Arabidopsis thaliana: one gene and its partners. The protein of the gene in region 3 interacts with the protein of the main gene of each other region in a pairwise test. Each region holds a gene or a part of one and is shown on either strand. Other genes may lie near its edges. The genes, in order: TRX-M4, TFIIIA and AT1G06510.

What was found.
Region 1: the proteins of AT1G06510 (region 3) and TRX-M4 interact in a two-hybrid assay, tested with the Arabidopsis thaliana proteins (one large-scale study listed by BioGRID).
Region 2: the proteins of AT1G06510 (region 3) and TFIIIA interact in a two-hybrid assay, tested with the Arabidopsis thaliana proteins (one large-scale study listed by BioGRID).

What each region holds. Positions count from the first base shown.
Region 1 is NC_003074.8:5,186,289-5,196,540, reverse strand, and holds TRX-M4 (thioredoxin M-type 4), read right to left. Parts: upstream 8,301-10,252; 5' UTR 8,094-8,300; coding exon 7,832-8,093; intron 7,404-7,831; coding exon 7,084-7,403; 3' UTR 6,705-7,083; downstream 1-6,704. Other genes in the region: AT3G15380 (Plasma-membrane choline transporter family protein), read right to left, coding at 106-297, 405-632, 714-974, 1,059-1,418, 1,502-1,615, 1,722-1,795, 1,887-2,070, 2,171-2,316 and 2 more; EXPA12 (expansin 12), read right to left, coding at 4,559-4,874, 5,360-5,892; AT3G15357 (phosphopantothenoylcysteine decarboxylase subunit), read right to left, coding at 8,946-9,377; UBC25 (ubiquitin-conjugating enzyme 25), read right to left, coding at 9,872-10,201.
Region 2 is NC_003070.9:27,109,910-27,120,693, reverse strand, and holds TFIIIA (transcription factor IIIA), read right to left. Parts: upstream 5,674-10,784; 5' UTR 5,658-5,673; coding exon 5,481-5,657; intron 5,344-5,480; coding exon 5,203-5,343; intron 5,053-5,202; exon of another isoform or gene 4,887-5,052; coding exon of another isoform or gene 4,878-4,886; intron 4,780-4,877; coding exon 4,335-4,779; intron 4,173-4,334; coding exon 3,937-4,172; intron 3,837-3,936; coding exon 3,693-3,836; coding exon of another isoform or gene 3,607-3,692; coding exon 3,466-3,606; 3' UTR 3,185-3,465; downstream 1-3,184. Other genes in the region: AT1G72080 (uncharacterized protein), read left to right, coding at 31-103, 190-282, 383-390; AT1G72070 (Chaperone DnaJ-domain superfamily protein), read left to right, coding at 1,086-1,280, 1,424-1,486, 1,721-1,843; AT1G72060 (serine-type endopeptidase inhibitor), read right to left, coding at 1,851-2,053, 2,158-2,200; dNK (P-loop containing nucleoside triphosphate hydrolases superfamily protein), read left to right, coding at 6,446-7,081, 7,176-7,634, 7,719-8,096, 8,179-8,246, 8,334-8,535; AT1G72030 (Acyl-CoA N-acyltransferases (NAT) superfamily protein), read right to left, coding at 8,869-9,256, 9,338-9,390, 9,478-9,807; AT1G72020 (TonB-dependent heme receptor A), read left to right, coding at 10,367-10,439. UniProt on the Arabidopsis thaliana protein: Essential protein. Isoform 1 is a transcription activator the binds both 5S rDNA and 5S rRNA and stimulates the transcription of 5S rRNA gene. Isoform 1 regulates 5S rRNA levels during development.
Region 3 is NC_003070.9:1,987,784-1,997,737, reverse strand, and holds AT1G06510 (forkhead-associated domain protein), read right to left. Parts: upstream 5,510-9,954; 5' UTR 5,350-5,509; coding exon 5,193-5,349; intron 5,032-5,192; coding exon 4,832-5,031; intron 4,715-4,831; coding exon 4,278-4,714; intron 4,195-4,277; coding exon 4,155-4,194; 3' UTR 3,897-4,154; downstream 1-3,896. Other genes in the region: GPAT1 (glycerol-3-phosphate acyltransferase 1), read left to right, coding at 1,671-2,558, 2,699-3,568; AT1G06515 (transmembrane protein, putative (DUF3317)), read left to right, coding at 5,770-5,854, 6,223-6,295, 6,775-6,787; AT1G06500 (uncharacterized protein), read right to left, coding at 7,152-7,562; CalS7 (glucan synthase-like 7), read right to left, coding at 8,443-8,518, 8,693-8,937, 9,028-9,213, 9,368-9,418, 9,505-9,954.

The DNA of each region.
Region 1 (10,252 bases), on a different chromosome or scaffold from region 3:
CATTACAATATGCTTAGAATGTTGTAGAGATAAAAGATTCTATTTTAAAAAACCATATAAACCGGCCAACCAAAGAAGAAACAAAACTTATACAGTATGGATCTATCAGTGAGTAAGACTCTGAACCTCTTCCTCCTGATTGCTATCTAAAGTTTCAAGCAGAAGAGGTGGTGCGTGCTGAGCATTCCCTTGATTCTCCTCTGAGTCTTGACAGAAGGAGAGAATGATGGTGTCTATCGACATCTCAACCACCGCAAAGAAAAGTGTTGCCACAATATACCCCAATGCCCAACATGCCTGTGCATAGAGAGAGTCACAAGCAAGCAAACCTATTTAAGCTAAAAAAAAAAACATCTGTCTTTGTATTTACAATTGAGTCTAGAGAGCAAGGAAAAGGATTTTACCAAAACAGGTAATAGCGGGGATGAGACTTTGTTGTGAGAAGCACGATATCGGTGCGAATCCAACATCAAGAAGCCAAAGAGAGCACTGAAGAGACTCACACAAAGCTTTCCTAGAAACAATATAACATCTCCTATCACATTAACTTTCCCTATCCTCAGAATGTTGCTTATGATCAGCTCTGTCGCGATTGCAGACGATTTGCAGAAGCTTTTCCCTGTTATAGCAATCTGAAAAGAGACCGAGAGACAGACAATCTATCAAGAAATGGTTCAAAGAATGGGATCTAAAAGAAGGAGATTTTCTGTTACCATTATGTAGGCATTACGGTTAACCGATTTGATGGTCCACTCCACACTTTTGAGACAACCACGTGAAGTGTAATGAGCCATTCTCCAAAACCAGTGATCAGGTATGGTCCCGCTTACTTTTGTTTTACGACGAATTGCTTCGAGAATGAACCGAACAGACTCAACAAAAGAGACAATGAGTGAACCAAGAGCCACGGATCCTAGGTTGTAGCGTGCAAGCCGCTTCATTGATGCGAAAACAGGAAGAAACGGTATCTCTGGCTGAATTGTTCAACCATAAAACCAGAATCAACACATAATAATAATCTACAGTTTCATATATTTGCTCAGAATTGTTTAGCTTACCGATGCTTCCCCTTGAGCCCAATAATAGGAGGCAACAGAGCCAGCAATCACTGTCGCAGAAGATGCAATGAAGAACTGTGTAGCCCAATAGCAACCAAACAGGTGGAAGAATATAGCAATGGTGATGTGAGGGGTGTAATGTATGCTATAACCGCAACAACGGTCACAATTAACTTTCTTTAACACGAGATCATACGCACAGCAGTTAGTGTTGTTGCAGTTGTTCTGAACAACTTGACCAGAACTGAAGAGATGGAGAGCCGCTGATATCCAGAACATATAGAATATTGCTAGCATCGCGAACGGTATAGCCGGGAATATAATAAGCGCTTGAACTTCTCCAATTACTTTAGCAGCTACCTGGATTTCACAAGTATACAGCAAAATGACCTTTCTAGCATAAACCAAACTGGTCACCAAGTGACTAAGAAAGTAATACTCGCCTTGAGGACTGATGTTGCCATGAGAATTCGGCGGATAATGGCAATTGAAGTGAGAATAGCAACAACAGAGATAAAAGTCATCAGAATGGCAACTCCACGAACATGAGTCAGTTCCTGAGGAATAAGCAGCAAATGTAAATAAGCTTGGAAGAAAATGGGACTAATGGTCTCATAATTTAGTGAATGTGAAAGCAGCTTAAGGCTGAGAATGTAAACTTACTCGACCATACACATGAAAGTATGGGTCATGCTCACCAATAATAGGTGTTACAGCATCATTCCCAATCCATCCAGCTACAAAAGATATAAAAGTGTAATAAGTATATTGAGTCCATATGACTTGAAACATAGAGACATACAATAGAAATATGATTTCCTAACCAACCTTTCAGGTAATAGAACACTGTGACTGATATTAAGAGCATGTTGAAAAGGACAACAGTTATCCAGGGCATGGCGGCAACAAAATGTCGAATAAGAAGCAGCCAAATAATGGATAGAAACAGTGGAACAAGGCCTCCACAAACGATCAATACTGGCCATGACTTCCCAATATCAGCCACATAACGCTACGATTGACAACCAACAAAAAAGCTTAGAGCATTCTTCAAAAATCATCACTTTACAAAGAAATGTTTACATGTCAATAGAGAAGAGGATCCTTCTAACCTTTAGAACTGAGGCACGAGAGTTCATTGACCTTCTAATTGATTTGTCTATGATCATGTCCTCTTGAATATTAACACCACCCATCTGCTGCCAGTGGCGTAAGGATGAATTTGAAGCACGAGCAATATATTGGCAGCTCCAATAAACTAAAGAATCAAAAGAACAAACCTTGTTACAAAAAAGCAATAGAATAGAAAATAAGAATAAGCTTTGTGTGCCTCTTACCATTCACACTAGGGAATATTACAGGGTAACAAGGACCCTGAAGCTGAAGAGAGGAATTCCTCATTTCTGGAGTAAGAAACTCAAAATAATCATAGTTCCTATCGATCCAATCATTCATCTTGAGACGAATCTCGCCGTCAGGATAGTCACATACCCAGTTGAGAGTATCATCAGAAGGTGCAGGGCAATCCAAGAGACAAATAGTTCTAGCATTAGCCAATTTAAGTTCCCCATCTTTCAAACCACTTTCATAAACTTGGTTAGGGTTTAACCAATATCTAAGCTCAAGTTGAGTAAGGTCACGGTGACGATGCTTGCTACCACACACATTCCCTTCATAGTCCAATCCATATGTGAGTCTGCAATAACAGTTCATATAAGACATCACCACTCAAAAACGATATTTGATTAACACAGCACAATTCACTGAACAAATTAGCACAACTATGTTCTATAAATTGAGTTCACACCAAATCTCTTAACTAAAGAACACCAAGCAGAAGAAAAGTAGGAACCTTATAATACAGATATAAAGGTACAAACTTTGGTATAATAAAAGGTAAAATCAAGCAAGATTAGCAAAACATTTAAGGTTCTAGGACGCTTTGTTTGTCCAAAGAGATTTGGAGCAAAAACCATTACCTTAATGGGTTGCCTTGGTTGAAACCAAAGCTGGAATTGACAATCATTGAAACCCAAAAGGCAATGAAGATGATGAGAAACGTAATATCTCTGCACTTTCTATTGTGCTTGATGATCCCATCATTTGGAGCACTCCCATCACTTGAAGTATATCTTCCAATCACTGCTCCTAAAGGTCCTCTCATCTTTGCCACAGCTATGTCTCTTCACAGTCTGAAAAACCCTCGAGACCAAAAAAAGGAATTTCGGAGAGAACAGCACACAGACCTTCTTTACTAAGTGTCTTCTCTCTCTCTCTTTCTCTGTGTTCATTGTTCGAGAAGAGAGTGTGAAAGCACTTGAAGGGTATTTATGTCTTTTTCTGTTTAAAAGTTATTTTCTTTTTGGTAAAAGATAAAATTAAATGGTTTCTGTTCAATCTTATATCATCCATGGCACATGAAAAGAATCCATGTCTGGTTCTTATGGGCTTTGAGATTTCTTATGACCATTTTTAAATGGTTCCTTTAATCCTAGTATTAAACCTAATTTAAAAATCTTTGTTCTGTTTTTTGAATAGATTTTAAAATCAAGCTTTTTTTTGTTCTTATTCTCTTTGAGATCTGCAAGACTGCAACTGTAACGCCATCCACTTCATTAAAAATACAATGATTCCACTTTTTCTTTGTTATATTATTAAAACATGAATAAAAAATGGACCAGAGTTATGTATAGAAGAAATTGATGACAAAAAGAAAACAGCTTTTTATTCATTAAAAGCTCACATCAATCTGTTGATAAGGAACTGAATGTGGTGTGAAACCTTCATCTATTTTTTGTTAATCTCTCACAAACATTCTTCCCAAGTTGGAGGGAAATTTTTAATAACCTTCCCAAAAGTAGGTTTTAGTGATATTTAATTAACTTTCTAAGTATATTTAGTTTGTATTTGAAAAATCAACAGATTGTTTTTTAAAAAGCATGGGCCAGCACCTTGTTTTTTAAAAATTGTTTTTATATATTTATTGCTCTGTTTTATTTATTATAGTTTTTATATATTTATTTTATCTTTATGTAAGAAAGAATTATTATTATTATTATTATTATTATTATTTTATAGAAAGAATTATTTCATTGACAAAAAAAAGAAGATAAAGAGTTATTTCAAGTTACGTACCTGACAATGTCGTTCTTTTTCAATTAAAGCTAGCATGTAACATTACATTTATATACTAATCTGTGTTTTATGAAGCTTTTATCTGATAATAGTCTTTTTTCATGGTGTCTATTAGCTCTGATAATTTTGTTGACAAATGAACTTGTAAAAAATGTTATTTCCATTAATATAAATTCTGCAAAACTCTTTAACTTGTCGAGTAATGCTTCATACATAAATGAGAAACCGTTCCGTTAAATAAAATTAAGCATGAAATTATTTAGCAATAAAAGAGAAACAAAGGAACACTGCCCAATTAAAACAAGGGCAAGTTCAGAAATAAGCAAAGAATTGCGTTTTGACCAGAGCACGACTTAGTTTTGTAGTTAAACGAATTGTCTTCCTCGAGAAGAGAAGGTTTGGCCAAACCACCAAGAAGAAGGGACAACGTTCAAAAATGTCTGCGTTTTGCTGTCCGTCAGAGTAACTTTGAAGGAGAGTCTCTGTCCCCGGAGATCACCGGAGCTCTGCCAGTTGGCACCCCAATTACGGGTCATCTGAAGCCAAGTCTTTCCCTTTGAGCCTCTCACCGCTACTGATCTCACCGAGCCGCCACCACCAACGTTTGAGATCATTACCATATTGAAGTTACCTTGCCCTCTCATCGTGAACCTCACGCCTCCTCTTCTTTTGCATCCCACCCTATATATACACATTACAAAACTATTAGATATTTTGCATAAATATCACAGTAATTACATGCTATATTTTTATTTAACTAAAGTCCATTTAAACCTTTTTCCAGATTCTTTTGAAGGATTGGCCTTGTTTTTGTTTTTTTTTTTTCTGTTTGTGAGCGTACGTATATGTACATGTTATAATGTGATGTTGATCTAAACTTCATCCATTCTTTCCTTATAAATTTTGCTATAATATATAATGACCTAGCTTGCTAATGATCATTATAGCAAAATAATGATATGTAGATGAAATAAATTAAACAATAATGTTAATAACTTAAAATAATGATAGGGTTGTATAATGTTCTCTACCTTACATTTTAAAAAGAAAAAAAAAAAACTCCAAAATATACTTTAATGTATAGTTTCAGTTTATTAACTTATCAAAAAGGATGAACACTATATGCATAAAAAAGCAATTGACTCCTATAGCATCGAATAAGTTACCGGCGATAGAAGACGGGGACGATGCCTTCATTGCCGCGACGGGCAATGCGGAAGAAAGCGGGGGAGGACATGTCAAAGTGATGGCGAGGGAGATTGCACCAACCATTATTGTTATTCGTTGGGCAAAAGTTTGTAGCCGTCACCGTCACGGCGGCTCCTCGGAGACACCACTTAGGATCCGCCGGAAAGTCGCACCTCACCTGGTAGCACCCACCGCATGACTCACCGCTTCTGAATAGCTCACCGCTTAGCGCCGCCGTGTGTGCTCCGAATCCGGCGTGGTACGGATTGTCATACCCACAAGCTCCTCCTATAAAATTGTATCTAAAAAACAAATTTACCATACAAACTTTGAAGTAACAAAAACGTATATTAAACAATAGTTTAATGGCCTTTTTACCAAGTGAAGCAGGGCTATCATTGACACCATAATACGTTGCATGAGCTCTTATCCAACCGTTAGAACACATCCCCACACTTAACGTACTAACCAAGAGAATAACCGTTACTAAGTATGTTCCCTTCATATCCATATATATATATTTTTATTTTATTTGAGATAAGTATAAATTTTTCGTGATGAAAGAAAGAGAGGTCGAGAAAAGAAAGCTTTGAGTTCACAATTGATTGCTTATTTGCTTGAAGAAGAAGGAAGACATTTGGACTCGTTTTATAAGGATCTATAATAAGTATTAACGCGTTTTGTCGGTGATTATTACGACTTATTTTCACTTACATGCACCACAATCTCATGCATGTGTTCGTTATCTTTCTTAGTTGGATCTTTCTTTTTTTATTGCTCTTGAAAATTCTATAATAATTGAATATAGGTCTAAACACAGGGGAACATAATTTCCTAGTTGAAATACTAAAACACTTTAATGTCATATAGCTATTTTTTGGTGAAGTAGTTAATGAAAAATATTTTTGATATGTCCATATAGAAGCATATTAAGTAACAACATTTTAGTTTCTGAGGAGAATTACCCATAACAAAATACTAGTATTTGAAATACTACAAGATAATGATATTTTTAGCTCTGGTTAGAGATTGAACTGCCTTGTAATCTGACTGTAACTAACATTTGGTTCCGAGAGGAAAATGATGGAAGAGAATGGCAGAGTTGACAAACGTTTTCGATATCTAGCTGTATATTTAGTTCAGGATTTCGTATCTTAATTATTCGGTGCTATCAAAGGTTGGGAATTTGAGATCTAAGTTTCCTAAGTTTTAGTCGCGAAATGACCTGTGTAATCCGAGATTAAATATGGGAATCCAACTAAACTGATTTAAAAACGAAACGCGTTTTCTCCTGATCGTTTAGTAAAGACATGGCTTGGACATGCCACATAGTATATACTCACATAATTGGATTAGAAATCGAAAACATACATGATATAATATAAGATTACATAGACCCCCTCGTGGTATTAATATATGTCCTATGCAGTACACAGAATGAAACAGTACGGAAGCCTACATTACTCAAAACATATGTATGTATATAGATTGTACGGTGAATTAGGAAGAACAATGGCATGTGGTTCAACGTGGAGTTATGCTTCTCATGCGTCGGTGGATTACTTTGTTTCCATTTTTTTTATTGAAGAAGACAAAGAGGACCCACGATAACATAATAGTCAAAAACTTAAAAGACTTTACAGAGATTACAAGAGAGAAGATAAGGTAAAATGGTTCAGAGTGACAAAAGAGTCAAATTTTGTTACTCGACCAAGAATCTTTCTATAGTTTTCTCCAACGTCTCTCTAGGCACAGCTCCAATGATGCTATCTTTCTTCTCACCGCCTTTGAAGATGATTACTGTTGGAACGCTTCGTATCCCGTAACGGTTTGCTGTATTTGGGCTCTCGTCAGTGTTGATTTTGTAGAATTTGAACTTCCCTGCGAAATCTTTGGCTAGCTGGTCAACTATGGGGTGAATCATACGGCAAGGTCCACACCATGGTGCCCAGAACTCGACCAGAACTGGGACATCTGATTCCAGAACCTTTGTTTGCCATTCTGAATCAGACAGATTTGGTACTGCAACATCAAACAAACTAGTTAGATATATCTCAATGGTGATTGAAATTATGCAACTATCAGAGAGAACCGTTCTGTGAAATAGTATACAGAGCACATCAATGCTCAATGCCAACAAGACTCTGGTTCTTTCTTGAGTTATTTAAACCATATGCTAAAATCTTATCACAGAGTATCTTTGCTATCAATTTGTATAATCAATCCTGGTTTGATCATACAACAACTTGATAGATGAAGAAGTTGAGTATTCAATAACGTTGACTACAATGTTTTATCAGAATCCACTCCCTATGAATCCTAGTTTTAGAGAACTAAATCAGATAATACTAAAGACTAACAATCCAAGTAATTATATAGATGATGAAGTTGAATCCTCACTGATTTAAGGTTCAGATCTACGAGTTGTACTATAAGAAAACTGAAGTTACCTTCGACGGCGGCGGCAGTGGTGTCCTGAGCCTCACAGGCGATTCGTCCACCGCGAGCGATTCTGGTTCTACGATTCGCACCCAGACTGGCCGACTGAGTCACCAAACTCCGCGAAGACTTCAAACCTCTGAATTCCAGAAACCTGGCGGGAGAAATCCGGCGTCGTGAAACCGACGGAGCAGCTGAAGAAGACGAGACCGAAGCCGCAATCGGCAGAGAAAACACGCGGGTCACGGTGACGGAATCGAGTAACGACGCCATTGGAGCAGAGCAGAGATATTTTTTTGAGTGGTTAGAGGGTTTTTGGCAGATACGGGTGACAATTTGAATGACTTGAGAACACACACAGAGGCGAATGCGATTTTATCCTCGCCACGTCATTCTTTCCTTTGAGATAACGACAACGTTTAGAGGACTCCTGTAAACCGTCAATTGTTTTAGTAGACCGACTATCAAATTTGATTTCGGTTAGGCAGCACATCTGATTTCGGTTAGGCAGCACCGCACCAATTCGGTTAGGCAGCACTGCTATAAGGTCGATTCTATTTACGAAGACGGACATGTTCTTTTTTCATTAGTTAAGGTTGAGGATTGGACTCTTATATCACTTTATGAAAGGGTGTCTATATTATATATAGTTTAACTTTTCTTTGGAGAGTAATTTTTTTTCTTAAAACAGATTTGCATAAATACATATGGATTCTATTACTAAGCGTTATGATCACATAAATTAGAGAAAACTTGTTCAAAACTCGATTCCAAATAGTATTGAGCTTGTTTTGAGAGAAAAAAAAAAGAAGACAAAACTCGATTTGGGATGTTATAATAATCTAATCACCATCGTCTAATCGATACCATTTTAATAGTTTACTGAGATAGTTGCAACATTTTCGTCAGTTTGAGAATTTTTTTGTTCTTTCCCCCGAATGTCACATATATCATTGATAACCAAAACCACAGATTTAATAGTTAAAATGGGATGTGAAGAAAAATATACTGGACAAAGAAGAAGAAATTGTCATTTTAGAACCATTTCATCAAAGAAGGTTTATGTCTAAAGCCATTAATCTCAAGCAAACAAAAAACAGAAAGCATTTTGTGAAGAATGAAGAGTTACTTCTTCTTCCTTGTGTACTTGTCATCCTCCTCTTCCTCATCATCTTCGTCAGAATCTTCATCGTCTTCAAAGTCAACGTCATCAATCTCGTCTTCATCAAAATCCGTGTCCTCCTCTGAATCAGCATCTTTGTTGTCCACCACTCGCTTTCCATGAGCCGCCTCCATTTTCCCTACTCTCTCCGAAACGGCCTCCTTCTGAACGAAGCCGACACGTAAACCGGATTTCATAACCGGAAAAGTTTCAGAGTAAACAGGGTATTGGCTAGCCGCCGGCATCTGGTTAAAACAAAGCAGAGATCGAATGGCCGGTCCATTGTTCTGTACTGTCTCGGTGAGATTGATCTTACGTCCACGGAGGAATAGATTCGTCAACGATTTTCCGTCGCGGATGAGTGATCTCGCCGCCGATGATGAAGCTGAAGCCATTTTTGATCGCAGTGTACTGGGACTGATAAAGAGTTTAGGACGGCTAATATAAAGAGAGGGAAGGGTTTAGGGTTTTTAGTAGGAGTTGACACGTGGATAGACACGTGTACATTTACGTATCTCTTTTTCAGAACTGTAGTTTAGATTTTCAGTTGAAAGTACAACAACACGTCGGTAAAGTAAATCTGGTTCACATCTTTTGTCTTGATTAGGAGGGATAATAAAGCTTAAAAGTCAAAATCCAAACCTTGTATCGTTGACTTTTACTCACTTCTCTGGTAGCTCAGAAAATTGAGGCTATAATAAATCTGACTGATAAAGGGAACTGTACATATGAGAGTGACTTCTCAGTTCTCAATAGTCTTTTAAGATTTATGTCATAGTTAAGAGAAAAAAAGAGGATCCATGATTGTAAGAAGGGAGAAACTAATTAAGTCACCGGTTTCTTCAGAAATTAAGAAAAATTAAGGACAAAAAAAAGGGAGCAATGGAGATCAACTAGAAGAAACTCTGTCTCTCTTGGACCTTGATCTGGTACATTTGCTACTCTCTGCAACGATTATAGTCTCAGGTGTTTTTTCTTCTTCTTCCGGTTCGAGACCAAGGACACCTAGAAGAATAAACTCTTTCAACAGCACTGTCTCCACAAAGGTAGCCACATCTGTCCTAAACTTCAGAGAGCTCATGCCCGCGCTATTCTCTTCCACATCTGGAGCCCCCTTCACCAGATATCCCGGTGTAGCTCCGTTTCTGTAAGCATTACACGCCTTCAACACGTCGTGAGCACAGCTGAAGAAATGTCCATACGCAAAGTCTTCAAAATACTGTAGCATTCGAAAAACCACCAGAAACAATCAATCTCAAGTTTTAGTGAA
Region 2 (10,784 bases), about 25 Mb from region 3:
AAACTTAATTTTTTCTTTTTTTTTCTACAGAATGGTACTGATGCCAACGACAACGTTGTGGCAGTTAATAACATAGAGAGTGATTGTAAAATTGATGAAACAGGTGAGAACGTTAAACTATACTATTTTTGTTACTTAGCGTACTTGACAAAAATGTTATTGTTTGATTCTTTATTGGTAAATCTTCAGTTCCTCCTAAAACTGACGAAGAGATCTTAGAAGATGAGGACGATATCCGTAGTTTATTGGATAAACTCCCAATTCCATCGATGTTTTATCTCGGTTAGTATAAACCTTAACTTTTATATTCAAATTATTATTATATGTAAAAACAACTTGTTATAGTTTGTGATCGTGACCTATAATTTTATGAATCTTTCAGGCTTCTAAAACGGGAGGAGCGGACGACGATTTCAACATGTTTTTAGACAAAAAAAAAGAGTACCAATGTTGTCTTTCCTTTTTTCTCTGGATAAAATTTGGAACAATGTTGGATTATGCATTTTATTTTTCATTTTTTTAAAAGAATAATGTGGGATTATTGTTATGAAATTAACTTCTATATGGCGAAATTTCATATAATTGTTTTGTTGGAAATTTTATAAATTTGGAGAAAAATATCTCATAGTTGTCACAATTCACCTCAGCACATGTGCATATTATCGGTAAATTTACTTATGGTTATTGTGAGAAATACATTAAAAAAAAGGGTGGGTAGATTAGAGATAATTAATATCATGAAGTTGATTTAAGTATCTCGGATTCAATCTTTTTATGGGACGAAATTTAATTTTTAAATCAGAATATAGTTTACACAAAACAATATAGGTTTTAACACATATAATGTTATATCGTCCTAGCTAGTAACAAAACCGAGAACAAAGGAACACATAAATATAAAAATAAATAAATAAACACCGACATGACATCGGAATGTGAATCGGATAATAGGATATCCAATAGACCATACCGTCGGGTACAAGATAAAAAAGGGTCCTTCACCAAAGTCCCACAAAAAGGGAAAGAAAAAAAGATTTGTTATAAACCTAAAATGTTTGGTTGGTGAAGAAGAAGAAGAAGAAACGATGATACGAAATTTCCGGTTCAAAGCTCCGACGAATCACCCTGGTTCCACCATCCAAACTGATAGCCGCCGGTTAATCCAGTTTCCGACAAGATGTTGTTTATCACCAGATCTTAGCCATTACACGGTTCTTGGCTTGACTCCTCTCGCTTCCCAAACCGAAGTCAAACGTGCCTTTAAACGTCTCGCTCTAAAGGTTGTTAATTCTTGTTTGTCCCTTTTGCGTCTTATTACGCTTTTAATTTTTTTTTAAAAGAAAGTTCAAAACCTTTTGACGAATCAAATCAAGAAAATAAAAAGAAGGATTATAACTAAATAAGACAAAATGAGTTATTGCAGTATCATCCAGATGTTCACAAGGGTCAGGACAAAGATTTCAAGGAGATCAAATCCGCTTACGAGGTAAAACAAAAAAATGTTTTTCTGATTTCTTGATTTTTTTTGGATTATTTAAGTTTTTTTTTGGTTTTGGACAAAAAATTTCTAAGTTAAGAATAAAAAATACAAACCCGTATTTTGTTTGCTTTTCTGATTTTGATTCTTTCTTATCTTTAACTTTTTGAATATGTGGTGTTTAATATTAGCCATGGTAAAACGTAATTGAAACCATTTTCCTTATATTAATCACATTTTCAGTGTTTGATGCAAAAGTTTAAGAAAGAAGAAGAAGAAATGGAGATTACAGAAATGGGTGAAATCGATGAGTGGGAGGAATGGATGGGATTCGAAGGAGGGATACCATCAGGTATTTCTTACTAGATATATATCATTTGCTACAATGGATAGTAGTAGAATCAGAGAGATGGAGAGTACAATTTTTGGGAGCAAGACAACAGTTGCATCTTGGAGGAAGCTTGTCAGCGCCGGAGGAAGGACATGTCATGTACTCTACTTGTAAGCAATAGAGAGGACACGCGATCGCTGTCTTTGTTGTAGTAACTCCAGGGATTATTCCTCCTAAAATAGCTCCTAGTGGATTTTTCAAAACAATGAAACACAAAATTTGATTAAATTTCTGATTGTGTAATTGCTAACCAAATTGAGGAGAGGAATTCCTTTTTTATAAGTTGAACCTGCTATGATGAAAGACATCACCCAAATCTTGTATGTAACCATTTCTTTCTTGGAAGATTTCTGCTTCTCCTGGGTTATATATAGATGAAGCTACTAAATTCAAAAACTAGTGTTTTGAATAACTCCGACCGTTGACTCTTGATTGGGTTGAAGTTGAACAGTCAAAGTCTTGTTTACTTTGACTAAACCACTAAGAGATCATTATCTCATCCAAAAGCTTATCTTGAAACTGTAATGAAATGTTATCTCATTACAGTTTGAATATGAGACGCAAAGAGAGACTTGAATATTGGAGTTTATCTCATCCCATAAAGCTTATCTTCAAATGTTGGGTTCAAGACAGTGTTTTCACGCCCGACCCGAACCGCCCGGTCCGACCAGTTAACTCGTGACCCGAACACTTTTCCGGTTTGGGTTTAGTGCTAAAACCCGACAAATTCAAAACCGAAAAAACCCACAAAAATTCGCCATTAATCCATGACCCGGTGAATCGGTTGAACCGGCCGGATGTGGGTTTTAAAAAATTCTCTTCATTTTGGAATAAAATGTGGGATTTTAAACTTTCTTCAATTATTTTTATAAGTTTTTTTAGTTCTTAAACTCATTTGATGTTTTAGATTTTGGTGAAGATTTCACAATGCGGCCTTAAAAATGAATCGAATGGTGATATATGCAAATGAGATTAGTTGTTTGAATTCACGATATTTCATTAATTTGTTTCTATCATTAGTGATCTTCTATTATATTTGTTACGATGTTAGACATTTAGTTGAATTTAAAATTTTTAATCACTTTCTTATTATTGTTTGATTTTATATATATATATATATGTTTTTTTGGTGTAAATGATTTTATATTTTATCAAACATAATATGATTTTATATTTTTTTATTAAACATGATATGATTATTTTGTTTTCTATTAAACATAATATGATTATTTTGTTTTCTATTTATAAAAATTGTAAAATCTCTATTAATATTTACCCAAAAGGTAGTCCGGTTCACTGTTTGGGTCAGTTTTAAAAACATTGGTTCAAGACATCAAAGCCGTGGGAGATAAAAAGGTTAAACGAACATAGATTATAAGCACAACATTACTTATATCTCAAACGTTGGGTTCAATACATTAAAGCCGTGGGAGATAAAAGGTTAAACGAACATAGATTCTAAGCACAACATTACTTATATTACTACCTACTATTGTAGTTCTATATTTCTTCCTACCAACACACAAACAAAAAGAACTTTACACAAAACTACTTCACTTATCTTAAGACAGAAAATATAATTAAGGCTTGGACACTACTAGCAAGTTTCGTGTTCTTCTGCATCAAACCGAGGAGGCATGACTCTCTTTCGTACCAGCATTTCCGCAGTAACTTGTTTCCTCTTTAGTCCACCTCTCGGTCTTGAAGTGAAATCTTCATCAGTTTCGACAAAATCACCCTGAAACCACATTCAGTTTTACATGAGATTCTAGTCTTTTGAGTTTGTAAGAAAAACACGATAGTATGTAGGTTGGATGAACTTACGCAGGTATATACGTGATACCCGGAATTCTCGTGCTTGTTTCTGACATGTTTGTAAGCAAATCTCATGCCACAACCGGGAAAGCCACAGACAAAGGGACGTATATCATCGTGCACTGCTTTCATGTGTTTCTGAAGATTAGAAGCCTGAGAAATAATCGTAATGTAATTAGTGATGTTGAATAATCTGGAAACGAAACTTGTTTTGGACTATATAAGTTTGACGTAGCTCAGGATGTTTCTTTACCTTGGAGAAAGTCGAAGAGCAACCCTCAACTTCACACTTGATTTCTCCTGGTGAGGAATCTTCATCATGAGTCCGTAGATGTCTCTTGATGTTCTTTTTCAAATGCTTAGAACCACATATCTCACAGTTGATGTGCTGATGACAGGATCTTATGTGTGACTTGAGGCATTCTTCGTTGGTAAAGTACTTCATACACCCAGGCTCGGAACAAAATGCCTCCACAGAGTCTAATTTCACTGCAAATGTAAATCTAAACCTTCAGAGATTGAAAATCTATCAAGCTTTAACAAACAACTGTCTTTAATTTATAACAAAGCACATAGAGAGGAAACGTAGAAATCTTCATATGCCCAGGATACTAAACTAGAGGGAAAGTAAGGGTAGGAAGGTGCACTTACCATGAGAATCCTGATGCTTTTGAAGCTGTGAAGGATACTTAAAGGCTTTTCCACAACCAATTTCTTTGCAGACAACCTGCTTCTGACCAGTTGAACACTCCGCAGGCTGAGAATCGCCATTACCATTATTGTCCTTACCACTTCCGCCATTCCCTTCATTTTCCTTCTCACAACCGCCACTACCAGATTTTTCCTTATCATCATCCCCCTTACAAGTATTGTCCTTATCACCATCGCCCAAACCAGTATTGTCCTTATCACGGTTGTCATTACTATGATATTTCTTAACATGCCTACCAACATTTCCCTGTACTGAGAATTCACTCTTGCAGTTCTCCTTCGGACACTTAAAGAGCTTCCCTTTATGTGTAAGAAGATGCCTATTGAGATGATCCTTCCTCCTATAGCTAGCAGCACAATCATCCACATAGCAAGTAAAAGATCTCTACACACCAAAAGAGTGAAAACCATCAGAAACATAGCTCATTGGCGAAAAGAAAGTCCAAAGCAAAGTGAAACAAAACAAGCTATTGAACATCAGACCTCAAACATTTTGCGTGATCGAGGCTTACTTGCTGGAGCTTCTCAGGAGGTCTCCCAACCTGATACTAGTCCATAACATGTAGCCTCGCATTTTGGAGTTCTCTCTTTGGGATCCAATGCCTCACGCAATAACATAGGTAAGACCTTTTGATTTAAACAAAAGGCTATTTATTTCCTGCAAATGTATAAACTTTTAGTTCACAACCAGAACAAAACTCAACACTAAGCAAAATCCACGAGTATCTCTATGTATCTCCATCTGTAGCTGCAACACACAGAATGGGAACAATTCGACTTCTCATGACAAGAGGATGCATAAATCTACCTCGAGCGAATGACTCTGCATATGCTGCTTCAAGTGAGCAGGTTTCTTAAACTCAGCACCACATTCTTGACAAGTATGATTACTTGAAGACTCCTCATCAACCTCACAAGCTTCATCATCTCTTTCCTCTTCAAGTTCCATCTAAACAAACGAATCATAGAAACTCTCAATTCAACAAACCATCGCCGATTCTACAGACTCAACTCTCAATTTCATTGAAAACAAATCAAGATGCCACGGATGAGAAATTGGAATCGAATTGGAGGAAGATCTCAAACCTGATGATGAGATTGGATGTGTTTAGTGATGAGATAGTTTTTAGATCTGCTGATTCCGCAATACTGGCATAGATAATTGCGTATATCCTTCTTCGCCGAAGTCTTCACATCAACTTTAGCTTCTTCCGCCATGTCTCTCTTATTGTCTACAGAAGAACTAGGGTTTATCTCCTCCATCAAGACGCCGCACAGTAGAAGCTGAAGTAACAATGGCCATTTATATATCAGCTTCTTTTTTCCGGGAGTGAGAAATCTAACCTAGAACACTTGGGCTTCTAATTGTATAATGGGCCTTTCAAGCCCATATAACAAATTTAAATTAGAATTACAACAAATTTGCAAAATCGAGTAGAAAATAGACAAGGGATCTTTGCAAAACGAAAAGTTAGACTTGTGCCAGGAAAAAAGGGAACAAATTTGAAACGTCACAATCGGTCCATTAAATCTAATGGGCCCTGCATCTGTAACATTTTTGAAAAATTTACAGTCGATAAGCTCAATTAGGTCATCGTTTTAACAAAGGGTAGGCCCAAATAAAAAACCAGTCCAATTCAAAAACAAGCGTTTTTTTAAACAATAAAAAAATGATTATGTACTTATTTGTTATCCGCACGTGTCATGTGTGCTACACAACTTCGTAAAGATGACAAATAACACCTCAAGGACAGGACACATCACCATTTTTTAACATTTTTTCCCCATAACGATTTATTAAAAAACGTATTAATCCCATAATCATATCTTCTAATTAATTAAATAATTAACCACACCACAAAATTGAAATTAATGATTTTAATCAATAAAATTAAAAACCCTAAAACGCAACTTTCTCTCTTCTTCTTCCTCTGTCTTTGCGCCAAACCAAAACCCACACAAAAGCCCTCTTTTTTGTTATCCCCTTCTCTCTCTGAAACTAGGGTTTCTATTTCTCTGAGTGATGTGAAATGCTCGTGTAAACGGAAACGATGCAGAAGATTCTGTGCAAAAGTACCACTTCTTCAACCCCTGTTCTCTCTACGCCGGTGAACTCTCTCGCCGCCGGTTTTATCTCTCTAGGGTTTAAGACCCCCGTTAAAAATCTCCCTCCTTGTTCTACTACTAAACCTCTCTCCACTTGTTTCTTCTCTACTTCCGCTATGCCGACCACAACGGCTTCTGTTTCTTCAGGCGGTGTTGGTTTCTCTGCTTATCTACAGAGGACTGTTCATAAACCGGCACCGGCGTCTGTTCGGTTCTCAACAGCTGGTTACCGGACTTGCCGGTGTTCAATTGACGGTACGAACCGGGCTTGGGTTGGTCGAACTGGGTCTTGGCGTGCGTTGTTTTGTTCAGACTCTACTGGTGGTTTAACCCCGGTTAATGCTACTGCTGGAGCAGTGGTTGAAAGCGAGGAAGAGTCTGACGGAGAAGATGAAGACGAGGAGAAAGATGAGAAGCCTGTGAGGATGAACCGTAGAAACCGGAGCTCTAGTGGAAGTGGTGAGTTTGTTGGTAATCCAGATTTGCTGAAGATTCCTGGAGTTGGTTTAAGGAATCAGAGAAAGCTTGTTGATAATGGGATTGGTGATGTTGCAGAGCTCAAGAAGCTTTATAAGGATAAGGTACTTTTGAATCTTCAATTTTTAACTTGCGGGTTTTGAGACAAGTATTGAAAGTTTCAATCTTTATTTTTGGTTGGTTGATTTGTAATCTCAGTTTTGGAAGGCTAGTCAGAAGATGGTTGATTATCTTAGGAGCTCTGTTGGGATTATACATAGAAACCATGCGGAGAGTATAACAACGTTTATTAAAGAGAGTGTGGATGATGAGCTTAAGGATTCTGGCCCTGAACCTAATCTAAATGTGAAGAAACGTTTGACGTTTTGTGTTGAAGGGAACATCAGTGTTGGTAAATCAACTTTTCTTCAGAGGATAGCGAATGAGACTGTTGAGTTACAAGACCTTGTTGAGATTGTTCCTGAGCCAGTTGATAAGTGGCAAGATGTTGGACCTGACCATTTCAATATATTGGATGCTTTCTACTCTGAGCCTCAGAGGTATGCTTATACTTTCCAGAACTATGTGTTTGTCACTCGGCTGATGCAGGAGAAAGAGTCTGCTTCTGGGGTTAAACCTCTCAGGTTGATGGAAAGGAGTGTCTTCAGTGACCGAATGGTAATTTTAAAGCCAACGTTATTAAAATTTATAGTTTGAAATGTGTGATTGGAAACTTAATATGTTGTGGAATTTGGTGTTTAGGTGTTTGTGCGTGCGGTTCATGAAGCGAAATGGATGAATGAGATGGAGATCAGCATTTACGACTCTTGGTTTGATCCGGTTGTCTCTTCTTTACCTGGACTTGTTCCTGATGGGTTTATATACTTAAGGGCGAGTCCAGACACTTGCCACAAGCGAATGATGCTCAGGAAACGAGCAGAAGAAGGCGGAGTCTCTCTGAAATACCTCCAAGATTTGCACGAGAAGCACGAGAGCTGGCTGCTTCCCTTTGAGAGCGGAAACCATGGTGTATTGTCTGTTAGTAGACCATCTTTACACATGGACAACTCTCTGCATCCTGATATAAAGGACCGTGTCTTTTACTTGGAAGGAAATCATATGCATTCTAGTATCCAGAAGGTAAACTTATCTCTTTTTTGCATTCTTTGTGCTAAAAGTCTGAAGATAGATTTTGCTTAGACTGGTTCATTGGTTGTAACAGGTCCCTGCTCTGGTTTTGGACTGTGAACCCAATATCGACTTCAGCCGGGATATTGAAGCAAAGACACAGTAAGTGCTCACACTACTGTAATGTCACCATAACTTATTTGGAATCATAAATCTAATAGATACTTTCTTGATTGATGTTGTTAAAAGGTATGCACGCCAGGTCGCTGAGTTCTTTGAGTTTGTGAAGAAGAAGCAAGAAACATCTACAGAGAAGAGCAACAGTCAGTCGCCGGTACTGCTACCACATCAGAATGGAGGTCTCTGGATGGGACCAGCAGGCAATCATGTCCCGGGATTAGATCTCCCGCCTCTAGATCTCAAGTCACTCCTCACTAGACCGTCTGCGTGACTGTCCATTCACTGACTCTGTTTTTGTTGGCTCCAAGGGAGCGTGTCAGGTTATTGAATGTCAATAGTTTCGATCGGCTTTTATATCGTTTATTTAGGAAAAAAACGTTTGCTGCCGCTTTTGTCCATCTTAGATGTAGAAACAAAACATGGTCGTGCCACCGTTTAGTTTAACCCTTTTGTATAAAAGTTTGGTCTCTGGATAATTTGTTTCTTGAAATCTTGTTGGTCGTCTAAAATTTCAGTTCAGTTCATGTTTCTGCACATTTACTCTGTATCCAATTAGATGGTAGTGTGTTTATTGTTTTAACCAAAATGTACATGAAGAAAACGCCTAAGAAAAGCGTTTACTCATAAGAACGCGACGTTTTCTGCCTATCCAAGTAGAGGTCCACAACGGGTCAGTCTCGACCACACTGTAGCCGGCATTCGAGTAAAGATTTCTAGCAGCTGCATCGTCTTCATAAGCTCTTAGAGCAAGAAGCTTGAAACCCCACAAGTAACACAAAACATCACATGCCTTTAACAATGTACTTGCCATCTTCTTTCTCCTTTGAGATTTTGAGACAGCTAAACCCGAGACGTATAGATATTCTTCGACGCCCGGAAAATAGCGAAGTACTGAACTTTCAGTTTGAGCTGTTACATCAACTACTCCGACAACACTTGAGCTCGACAAAGTTTCAGTTTCACTTGTTTGCTCCGCCACGAGACATGCATATCTGCCAAATTCTTAAAACTTTTATAATTAATCACATTTAAAAACTAGTCTTAAAGAAATTATGTTATGTTATTTGTTTTACCTGTCAGGTGGTGAATTCTTTAGTTTGTAAAGAAGTGCTGATAGAACCTCTGCCTGTATTACATATTATCAAAATCTTCATATACATCAAAACAATAATCTTCAATGTAAATCATATATGAGAATGAAAAATAAACAAACCTGAAAAAACATGAAGAAAAAATCATCAAAAAGAGCAAGAGGGATGTGGAAAGCTTCGGCTTGAACAAGAGACACTCTCCTGATCTCATCCTCGTCGTCTCTATTCAATCTCCTCACGTCCCACCCGTGTTGACTCACCAGATACTTCAACTCTATCTCCGCCGCATTATTCTGAGTCAAACTCGTTAACGACTCCGTCGACGCGCACCGTAGGAACACCGGGAAGCGGCTCCACGTCAGCTTCCGTTGATCTACTCCTAGACCGGAGCTTCCAGGATATGGAAACTTTGGTCCAGCGGCGGAGTAGAGGCTCTGTGGCAAGTGACCCATGTTTATTTTTCTAGCATTTTTCAAAAAAAAAAAAGAGAATCTTTATTATGTTCGTTTTCATGCGCTTTAATATGAAACGTAGAGATAAGATACGCTTCTTGCTTCCATCGTCTGTTTTCTGTGGTTAAGAATCATCGCTAGCTCATGACCATCCAGAGATTTTTTTGGGGTTAGAAAAGATAAAATAGTTCAGCTACGTGGACAAATGGTGACTCTACACGTGGAGATTTGCAAGCAAAAATTAGTATATTTCATGTTCATCAAAGAAAGTGACATGAATTTTTATTTTGACATGTTATATGATTCCTAAGAAAATTCCCAAAGTTTTTTTTTTCTGAACATTTTTGTCAGCTTTTACTTAAAACAAAAATATTTGAACAACACAGTTAAATAAAGGCCTTGTGTAAGAGTAAATGGGCCTGGCCCAAAAGAAGATGTCGCTTTGCACGTGTGATATCATCTCTCATTTCTCAGTCTCCTCTCCTCCCCAAAACAAATTCGCCGTAAAATTTCCAGAGAAGTCGTTCATCATTTGCAATTTCTCGATTAGTTCTGAATCATGGCGTTGAGCACCAGCATCAGATCTGTATCTAAGATCATTGCTTCTTCCGAAGCATCAGTCTCCAGATCTGGTCAGTACCAATAGAAGTATCTGCTGAATTGGTTTTGCATTTCTTTGTTTTTCCCCTTTTTTGTTGTCTAGGGTTTTGTTTGATTTCCCAGGAATCGATTATTCTAAGGTTTTGTTTGATTGCCTAGATATCAATGTTTCTGATTAGCCGCGGATTGATTCCGATGCGATTCTTCGTTGATTGAATTCTGGGATTTGAAACTTCTCTGCTCGCGAATTTGTCATAGAAACACGCTTTAATGGCGTGATGCGAAACAGATTGTTTATGATTAGGCTGAAAAATTGTATCATGAAATTAGAAATGCATATTTTGATGTTTCCTTGTTTCATGGAAATTTTCCATGTT
Region 3 (9,954 bases):
AAAAAAAATAAAGTTGGATTAATTTTCTTAGCAACATGTGTTTTCTCCTTGAGTAATTCCAATGTCAAGAAATTTGCATTTCCGATTACAAATACAAACAAACATTTCCATCTATTCACAATAGTTTTTTAAAAAATCGTGTTGCCATAGATATTGTAAACGTTTGTTTGGATGCACTAATTACGATCATTCAATATTTTCATAAGAGCAACACAACTTGTTTTAAAAAGTCAAATTTTCAGTTTCATTCTTTCAGATGATGTGTGATGATAATAAAGATCTCCTCATTTACGTCAACAAAGTTTACTCAAAAAGGAAAAAAAAAACATAGCACATTGAAAAGTATGCAAATTTGTATAAAGAAGAGCCTGTCACCAACTACGTAACCTAACTTGTTAAAGCTCTTCCATATCTTGGAGTTGGCAGAAAAAAGTGCAATCTTTGAAACTTGAGGGAAAATCAACCTATAAAACATGCGCGTTAAATGATTGACAAAAAAAATACAAAAAAACAATAACATGCGCGTTAATTCTAAGTAATCCTGTTCACATATGGTTGTGTTCCTGAAGACATTTGGTTAGATTCGAGAAATATATTAGTTTTGTAATCTGCGATTAGGTTAGGATCAAATTAACTGCTATCCACTATGAAAGTATATATATGGATAACGGTTGACTTATTGAGACTACGTTATACCTTTTCGTTGATAAAATTATTATGTTTATCTGGGATAAGAAGACATTTTGTCTTAAAGATAATGGCAAATATTTTCTTTTCTTTTTTCTTCTAACTGATATGTTTTTGAATGATTGTAGTGTAATAGATTAGTATGGTTGACGTGATTTATATAAGTAAGGAAAAAAACCCAAATGAAAGATTTTTCAATTACATGATTGAATTTTCTAACCTACTTCCTCTCTGAAGATATGATAGTCAAAATATTCATAACTTTTTGTGATAATAATAATTGAAATTCTTAAAAAGAGCTTAACTAAACAAATTATATAAAACTAAATACTTAAACCTAATGATGAAAGTAAGTTTCATATTTTTTTTTGTGGCCTAGGGCAATTGCTTTTTTTAATTTATTTTTGCTAACACATGCAGCATGGCTCTGCCCCAAAGCCCTCCAAGTGGAAGCTGAGAAAGCAACGCAACAACATTCAACAGTTTTAATAAAGCGGCCAACTTGCATCATTCACAACATAATACTAGAAAGTGTCTTGCGTACTTGCGTAGCCGATAATTAATAACCTTGGACTATACGGTACTAGCTTTATTATATTTATGTGTGTACTATAAGGTAATGTATTGTTTCATTCTTTATATATATATCTTGAATTTACGTATGCTAAATATGTATAATCATCAAAACCATAACTTCTTGGGAACAAACAAAAACACACATTCTAATTTCAAGTGTAGATTAGATAAAAACTTTATAGACGTTGTGTCGTTGAGTTAATGCGAGAGAGATGTGTGGGTTAACCAAAATTAAAATAGAAAAGAAGAAGTTAATTTAAAAGCAAATTTTTTTAAAAAGGGTCAACCTTCACACCACCTTTGCACTCGCCTATCATCATCACTCACTTATATAAACCTCCTCTGTTACTTCTTTGTCTTCTCCAACACATTTACTTTTCTTCTTCTTCTCTCTCTACGCCATAGCTATGGTTTTACCAGAGCTTCTCGTGATTCTAGCAGAATGGGTTCTTTACCGTCTTCTTGCTAAATCATGTTACAGAGCTGCTAGAAAGCTCAGAGGCTATGGTTTCCAGTTAAAAAATCTCCTAAGCCTCTCCAAAACACAATCTCTACACAACAATTCTCAGCATCATCTTCATAACCATCATCAACAAAATCACCCTAACCAAACCCTTCAAGATTCTCTAGACCCTCTGTTCCCAAGCCTTACAAAATACCAAGAACTTCTTCTAGACAAAAACAGAGCATGCTCTGTTTCGTCTGATCATTATCGTGATACCTTTTTCTGCGATATCGATGGTGTTTTATTAAGACAACATTCGAGCAAACACTTCCACACGTTCTTCCCTTACTTCATGCTCGTGGCTTTTGAAGGAGGATCGATCATCAGAGCGATCCTTCTCTTGCTCTCCTGTTCTTTCCTTTGGACTCTGCAACAAGAAACCAAACTCAGAGTTCTCTCTTTCATAACCTTCTCTGGTCTTAGAGTCAAAGACATGGACAATGTTTCTAGATCGGTTCTACCAAAATTCTTCCTCGAGAACTTGAATATCCAAGTTTACGACATCTGGGCTCGAACTGAGTACTCCAAAGTTGTGTTCACGAGCTTGCCGCAAGTGCTGGTGGAGAGGTTCCTCAGAGAACATCTCAACGCTGATGATGTGATTGGGACTAAACTGCAAGAAATAAAAGTCATGGGAAGGAAATTCTACACAGGCCTAGCTTCTGGTTCTGGTTTCGTCCTGAAACATAAATCAGCTGAAGACTACTTTTTTGATAGCAAGAAGAAGCCTGCACTTGGAATTGGAAGCTCTTCAAGCCCACAAGATCACATCTTCATCTCCATTTGCAAAGTAATTTCCTTTCCTTCTTAAAGTTACTAACTTTCAATTTTGTTTAAGTTTTCTACAAGGTCATATCTGTTACTTTTCAAATTTCACAAAAATAGATTAAAGTTTAGAACGTCTTCTTTTGTTCTGAATCTCCCACACAGGAAGCTTATTTTTGGAATGAAGAAGAGTCCATGAGCAAGAACAACGCATTGCCTAGAGAAAGATACCCAAAGCCACTGATATTCCACGACGGGAGATTGGCTTTCTTGCCAACACCATTAGCTACATTAGCCATGTTCATATGGCTCCCTATCGGATTTTTACTCGCTGTCTTCAGGATCTCGGTAGGAGTCTTTCTTCCTTACCATGTAGCCAATTTCTTGGCTTCTATGTCCGGTGTTAGGATCACTTTCAAGACCCATAATTTGAATAACGGTCGTCCAGAGAAAGGTAATAGTGGAGTCTTGTATGTATGCAACCATAGGACCCTCCTCGACCCAGTTTTCCTCACCACTTCGCTGGGCAAGCCCTTGACCGCGGTTACTTACAGCCTAAGCAAGTTCTCCGAGTTCATAGCACCTCTCAAGACGGTTAGCCTTAAAAGAGATAGGAAGAAAGACGGTGAGGCAATGCAGAGACTATTAAGCAAAGGAGATCTAGTGGTTTGTCCGGAGGGAACCACATGTAGAGAGCCTTATCTACTAAGGTTCAGTCCTTTGTTCGCTGAGTTAACTGAAGACATTGTTCCCGTGGCTGTAGATGCTCGAGTGAGCATGTTCTATGGGACAACTGCGAGCGGGCTCAAGTGTTTAGACCCTATCTTCTTCCTCATGAACCCTAGGCCGGTTTATTGTCTTGAGATTTTAAAGAAGTTGCCAAAAGAGATGACTTGTGCAGGAGGCAAGTCAAGCTTTGAAGTTGCGAATTTCATACAGGGAGAACTTGCTAGGGTTTTGGGATTTGAATGCACTAATCTCACAAGGAGGGATAAGTACTTGGTTCTTGCTGGAAATGAAGGCATTGTCAGATAAACTATTCCGAATTTTCATTAGTTTTTTTGTTTGTTTGAAAAGCTAAATATTATTGTTATTTCAGGACTTAGATGTTTAATTCTATATGGTTGATTCATTGGCATCATTTCTATTTCTTATCACTCGGGACCATTGATATGTATTGAAAATGTTTGCTTTATATGATTTTGTTTCTGGATTTGTATAGTCCATAATCTCAACCTGTCGCTTTAGTGCCATTAATTTTATTCCTAGAACAAATGAAATGATTTCAGAGTTAGTTGAAATCAATATTAATTGTATACATCTAATCTAATAGTATGTTATTCACTTATTATTTACTTAATGATGCTCCTAAGTATTGATATCACATTAATAATCATGATCCCATATCACAACAACATTAACGTGAACGACCATATTAACTTCATATCACATCAAAATTTAATGTATCACCTTAGAAGATATTAATATTCACACCAAGAAAATGACTATACCTGTCTAAACAGAATGATTAAAGAAAGGAAAATTGCTAGATTAACTTTTCATACCAAGAGTGGCTTCCTTTCTTTAGTTCACTGCGCTGGTAAGTAATGCTTGAAGCACACTAACTGATGTTTGCCTCTTTGCAAATGATATTTGCGATTCTACACAAGCAAAACAAAACTTAATGGACTGAGTAATTCTGCAGTGTTAGAAGTAAAACTTAGTGATGCTTTGAATGCATTACCTTTCCCTCACACGACGAATCTCTTCAAGAATTTCTGCAGTCTGCTGAACCTTAAGATTCTTGGGTTTATCTTCATGATTAAGCACCAAGGATGCAACATTTACAACAGTAACTAGTTCAGCTTCGATTCTGCTAAGTTTCTGGTCTAAATTTTCCAAGAAAGATTCATAAGAAGACACTTCTTTCAGGATGCTACCTATTGAAACATCTTCTAGTACATTATTATTGGTATCAAGAAGTTCTTGGTAATCCTCAACATTCCTTTCAATAAGTTGAATTCCCTCAGAATCCAAGTGAGTGTGGTCATTTTCGACCCCGTCTTCAGTAGATTCGGGCTTTGGCGATACAATGTGGATACCACCTGAAGTATTCTCTCCATCCTCTTCGAGATCCAAAGATATATTGCCTATCAGCTGTGTTTCCTTGACAGATATTGCCTGAAACCAAACCAAGCTTTCAAGACATAGTTAGATAGATTTCTGGGGCAATTGAAAACAAACAAACAACCAAAACAATAACATTTCTTAACAAGTAAGAGTATTGTTTGTTTGTACCTCGTTAAGTTTGGAAGAAAGCGTATCGAGCAACTCGATACGAGCTTTAGCCTTGTCCAAAGCTTGCATAACTTTTTTCTTCTGAAGAAGTAGATCTCTGGCATCATTCTCTTTCCCTGTTCGAACATTGACAGCTGCTTGTTCCCGTAGATTCTCTGCAGCCTCAGATAATCTCAAAAGTCTCAACCTATTACTGTTTGCTGGACCAACAACAACAAAGACCAAAAATAAATCAAATTGACATCATCAATCACTGGATTCACAAGCAGTAAAACCATGCTGAAACCAGCACCTCATCTTTCCAAAGTCTACGACTTTGAAATCACACATTAAAACGAAGATTAGCGAATAAAGATTCCACCTTTGGCACGAGTGGACTCTGCCTCCGCGTGAAGCCGATCAAGCTGGGAGCGAAGAAGGTCAGAATTTGCGGTGGCAGAGAAGCATCTCAGGCTCGTTGGAATCCTCCGAGACTGAGCAATCACCACCGGAACTCCGCCGATGGTCGTCGTCACCATGTTTGGTCTTCTTACAAAGCGCACACGTTCTGTGACATTGCAGTCTCCGTTATCCGGTTAGTTCTACAAACCGATTTTGAATACCTGGTTCATCTAAACCGGTAATTAAGACTAAACCGGGGTGGGAAAATGAATTGAGGATGAGATTAGTATTTACCGTGACAGAGTTTTCCAACTTTGACGTCTCCGTCAAAATTTGATTTCTCTTCTGTATTTGACGACGACACTTCAATCAAAATCTGGAGTCAGATACAGTTCCCTAGATCGAGAATCTCCAGGCGCTTTGTAATCCTGTTTAGTATATCTTTGTCAAGTTCTCTGTCAGAGATTTACCGGGTAAATTTTGAATCTTGGATCAGGTTTTTGTCAATTTCAGATTTGTAATCTCCCGCTTCTTACTGTAGGAATCGATCAGAAGATATGAACTGGGTTCAACGCAAAATCTACCTTTATAATGTCACATTCGGGCTCTACATGCTTGATTGGTGGGAACGATACCTCTTCAGTATCCTTTTTTCCTCACTCTATCCCTCCATGCTTCATTCGTTCTCTCCATCGATTTTGGTTTATCTGTGCTCCAATTTCGATTTACCCTTTCATTAGAAAGATGCAAGTTTTGATTTTTACATCTTTGGTGATATATGGTGGCATTGTGTTCTGTTCTCTTGTGTTGTCGTCTTAAGCATTGTGTCTGTTCAATTTTAGAATTTTGTTTTTAAAAAGCTACTTTCTTAAAATTTTGTCTTCAACTTCAGAGTTTGGATTATAGTCTCTACTGAATAATATACTGTCAATTGAGATAATTTTTTGCTAGTTTACAAGGACTTAAGATCTTTGCTTGCATCTTCTTTGCCTTTCCTCAACTCTTTTCAGATTCTTTGGTGGTTGTTTTGATGTGGTTCGTTTTATACAACGGTACTCGCTACTTTTCGGAGCTTTTCCAGAGGTAAAACACTTGATGATGCTCTTTGCGCACACCTTAAGCTTGTTAAGGTTTCCTTGACACTAATTTTGCTATTGTTGTAACAATTTTTGGTACTTATCTAGTTCTTTTTGCTACTTTGGTCTTATGGTTTCATTAGCGGGTTTCTAAGTGATGAGTGTTATGATACAATATGCTGTTTGGCCTCATCTTCATCTCTGAAACAAGTTTCACGGTTTCCCATGATTCGTAGTATATGTTTTCACAAAAGGATAAGTCCATCATTTACTTAAACATTATCCTACCTTCTCTTGTGCATTTAGTTAGGGTAGATATTAAGCCTCCCCAGAAGGTGATTGGATTGGAGTTAGAGAAGTCTTTAGTTTGCCTGATGGACTTACTGCTGCTGCTTGCTATCTGAATCTTATTATGCTGATTGTTCGAAACTTTTGAGAAGCAATTGAAGCTCTTTCATGATAATTTCTTGTATCCTCGCATTGCAGGCATTTGACATGAAAACATGTCTTGTTTCTCGCACAGTAGAGCACGAAAAGCCTAGATCATCCAAAGGCATGTACGTTTGGTTCCAATTTCTGAGACGTATACCAGCAAAAATCCCTCTTTCGGCGTCACCTCTGTTTTTGTTAATTTTCCTCCAAAGGCTCTAGGACAGTTCTTATGTCTCTATATTATTTGTTCCCATGTTTTTGCAATTAACAGAAATGATTTTGTAGACTCGTAAGATCGCAAGTCTTCCTGTTGTATTTCCAGTTCACTTAGAGACATAATAACATAGTTGCAGGAGTTAATGAACTTGCGGATTACATATAACAGAGCATAATTTTTAAGAGGGAGCTCTGTTCTAAATCTACAAACGAACTTAGGAAGAATCAGGGGTAACCCAATCCTTTGGCATTGCAGAGTTGAAGATCTGAAACAGCAAAGCTTGATCTCTCTTGCCTGGTCTTTTTGAACCAAATCCTTGATGCAGACCAAGTTCAACCGCTTCTCTTCCTTCTTCCGCTATTCTTTTCCTAATAGCTACCAAAGAATTTTGCGTCTCATCACAAGCTGCTACATGTCCATTTTCAGTGTTCTCTCCTCCACCATCTTCTCGTCCGCCTTTCTCTGCCCTTCCCCACCATTTGTTTGACACAGTTGTTAACCCGCCTGATGGGAATCCAAATTTGAACTCATCTACAGCTGCCACTGTCTTTGCCAAGTTAGTATTAGCCCATACATTTGACTTGCCACTCTTGTTTCCCCCATGCTGCACCGTCGAATGCATCATCGTGTGTGTGTCCTCGGGTTCAGATTATGTTACGAACCACTGTAATTAAAAGAATCATGAATCAAAGGGAAAGAAAAACGATACTAGTAAGCACCAGTTTTAACCATTATATCAAGAAGAAGACTTGAATGTTTTCTTTTTGAACAAAACCAAACCACACAGAGAAGAGGGTCTCGCAAATATCAACAGTACAAAGACATAATACAGGAACGTTGCTACATCTGTGAATTAGACCCAGAAGCCTCTAGAATCAAAACATAGAGGCTCAATACTTCCTGGAATCAATGTGTAAGGAACTAGATCTGGAATTAGACAGCCTAGATAACAGTTCCCTAAACGACTCAAACGTTATGAATTTCAGAAAAGTCCAGACCTTTTCCAATTTTCATCTGTATAACATACCCAATTGTGGCACTAAAACCCTAATTTCATGCGTCTGATAAAACTCTCTGCATTGAATCGAAGATTACCTTCTTCTTTTTTCAGAGAGCGTCCTCTTTGGCGTACCCTAGAGCGAAAACAAACAATCCAAACAAGGAAAATAAGAAAAGCCTAGAGCTTTAGATGAAGTATCAAAGTATAAAACACTCGGTAGAGAAACCAATCTTCAGATTTTCGCAAATAGATAACAGAGGCAATGCATACATACCAAAAAGGAGCTTCCTTTGGTCTATATGGATTTTCTGACTTTCTCAGTGATCTTCTTCAATAGTTGGTTTTAAGATGTTTTAGAACAGTGACAAGGATCGAAGTGTAATTTCCACTGACCTCAATACATTGTTTAATCATATAAAAGAGACAACGAAAAAAAGAAGAATAGAGTGACACATCTTTTGTTACATAGACAGATTAATAATGGTTAAAGGTATTTGTATCATGTTCAAGTCCAAAGGTAATAATGGTTAAAGGTATTTGTATCATGTTCAAGTCCAAAGGACTCTTCCGTATGGCCTAGGCTGAAGAACAACATTTACTATGAGTATGAGGTCTTCTCTCAGTCTCAGGTGGTCTAAACATTTTTTCTATTTTCTCAAAGACATATCTAGTAAACAGTAATAACAGATGAAAAAGAATGGAGATGAAAGAAAAATTGGACAAGAAGAAGAAGAAGAGAGCGGTTTGAGCCTCACTACTTGGTGGAAGGTGTCTCTTTGTCTTTCTTTCCGGCGAGAATCATAGAGATCTGCAGACCGCGACTGAAGGCTTGATTAAACAGTAATCTAGTTTGGAACTCAGACACAAATGGGAACCACGATAAGACAGCAATGGGTGTGAATATCACAAGCCCCATTATATACTCGTAAGCTCTCCCTAGCTCTTTCACCGAGTCCCAGAATCCTAATCCTTTGAACACGCTACGCAGCGCTTGCCCGATCTTCAAAACATAGCAACGGATTACAAACTTATTTTTCTCATGGAAAGAACAGATTATTTATGGGCAGTTAAGAAAGTTGTGTGGGCTTACAAGAAGAATAGCCCAGCCAGTAGGTAAGAAAGCGAGGATGGAGGCAAAGAGATCCGAGATCGTGAGGCCGCAGACGACAAATAATACAGTCATGACTGACAAGAAACCAAGGAAGAGAAGTGCCTTGAGAATCCTGAACATAACCTGAAAATCTGTACCAAACTTCCGTCTACCCATTGATACCATCTGTCAAATGATTAAACGACACAATCATAAATGTCAAGAGACAAACAAAACCTTTTCCTAAAACCTCAAAGACTATCTAATAGAGTTGGCTGAAGATTCTTTTCTGGTTTTGATGTGGGTAAAAGCTTAAAACAGATTAGTTTCAGGGCCTTACCTTTAGCACGAGAAGAACTGACAACAAGATAGCCCAAGAGAGTCCATAAACCTTAGAGAAGAAAAGGGCAAAGTTGTTAAAATTTTCAAAGCTATCGAAGAGGGAAGTATCATGGCTTATATGCCGAAATACTTTACCAGAAATGTTGTGTGGCGGCGAGCGATGTTGAGGTGGTAGACAATTCCATACTGGTAAAGGAGAAAACGCAGAGCGAGAAGTATCTCTAGAACCCTTCCTCTTAAATTTGTGTGCTTGAGATGTTCTTGCTCTATATCCCACCATGATTCCCAACTTTTGTCAAGAACAATTCCTATGCCACCGCGGTTTCCCATCCAACGTTTCCAGTCAGTCCAATCGTCCACCGTCTTTTGCCACTCAAACCCAGATGGGTTGAATATAAATGGAGCAAACAACCAAGAAGTCACCAGGAACCACATTGAAAATGTGATGTACATATAAGTACTTGAGCTACGGTACGAAGTTCCATAAACTTGATACACAACTAGTAGTATGACCAACTCCAGTCCCTTAACAAAATGGCTTCGCGAATATAGTCTATAGTTTTCTGCAAACTTCGCATGGAAAAC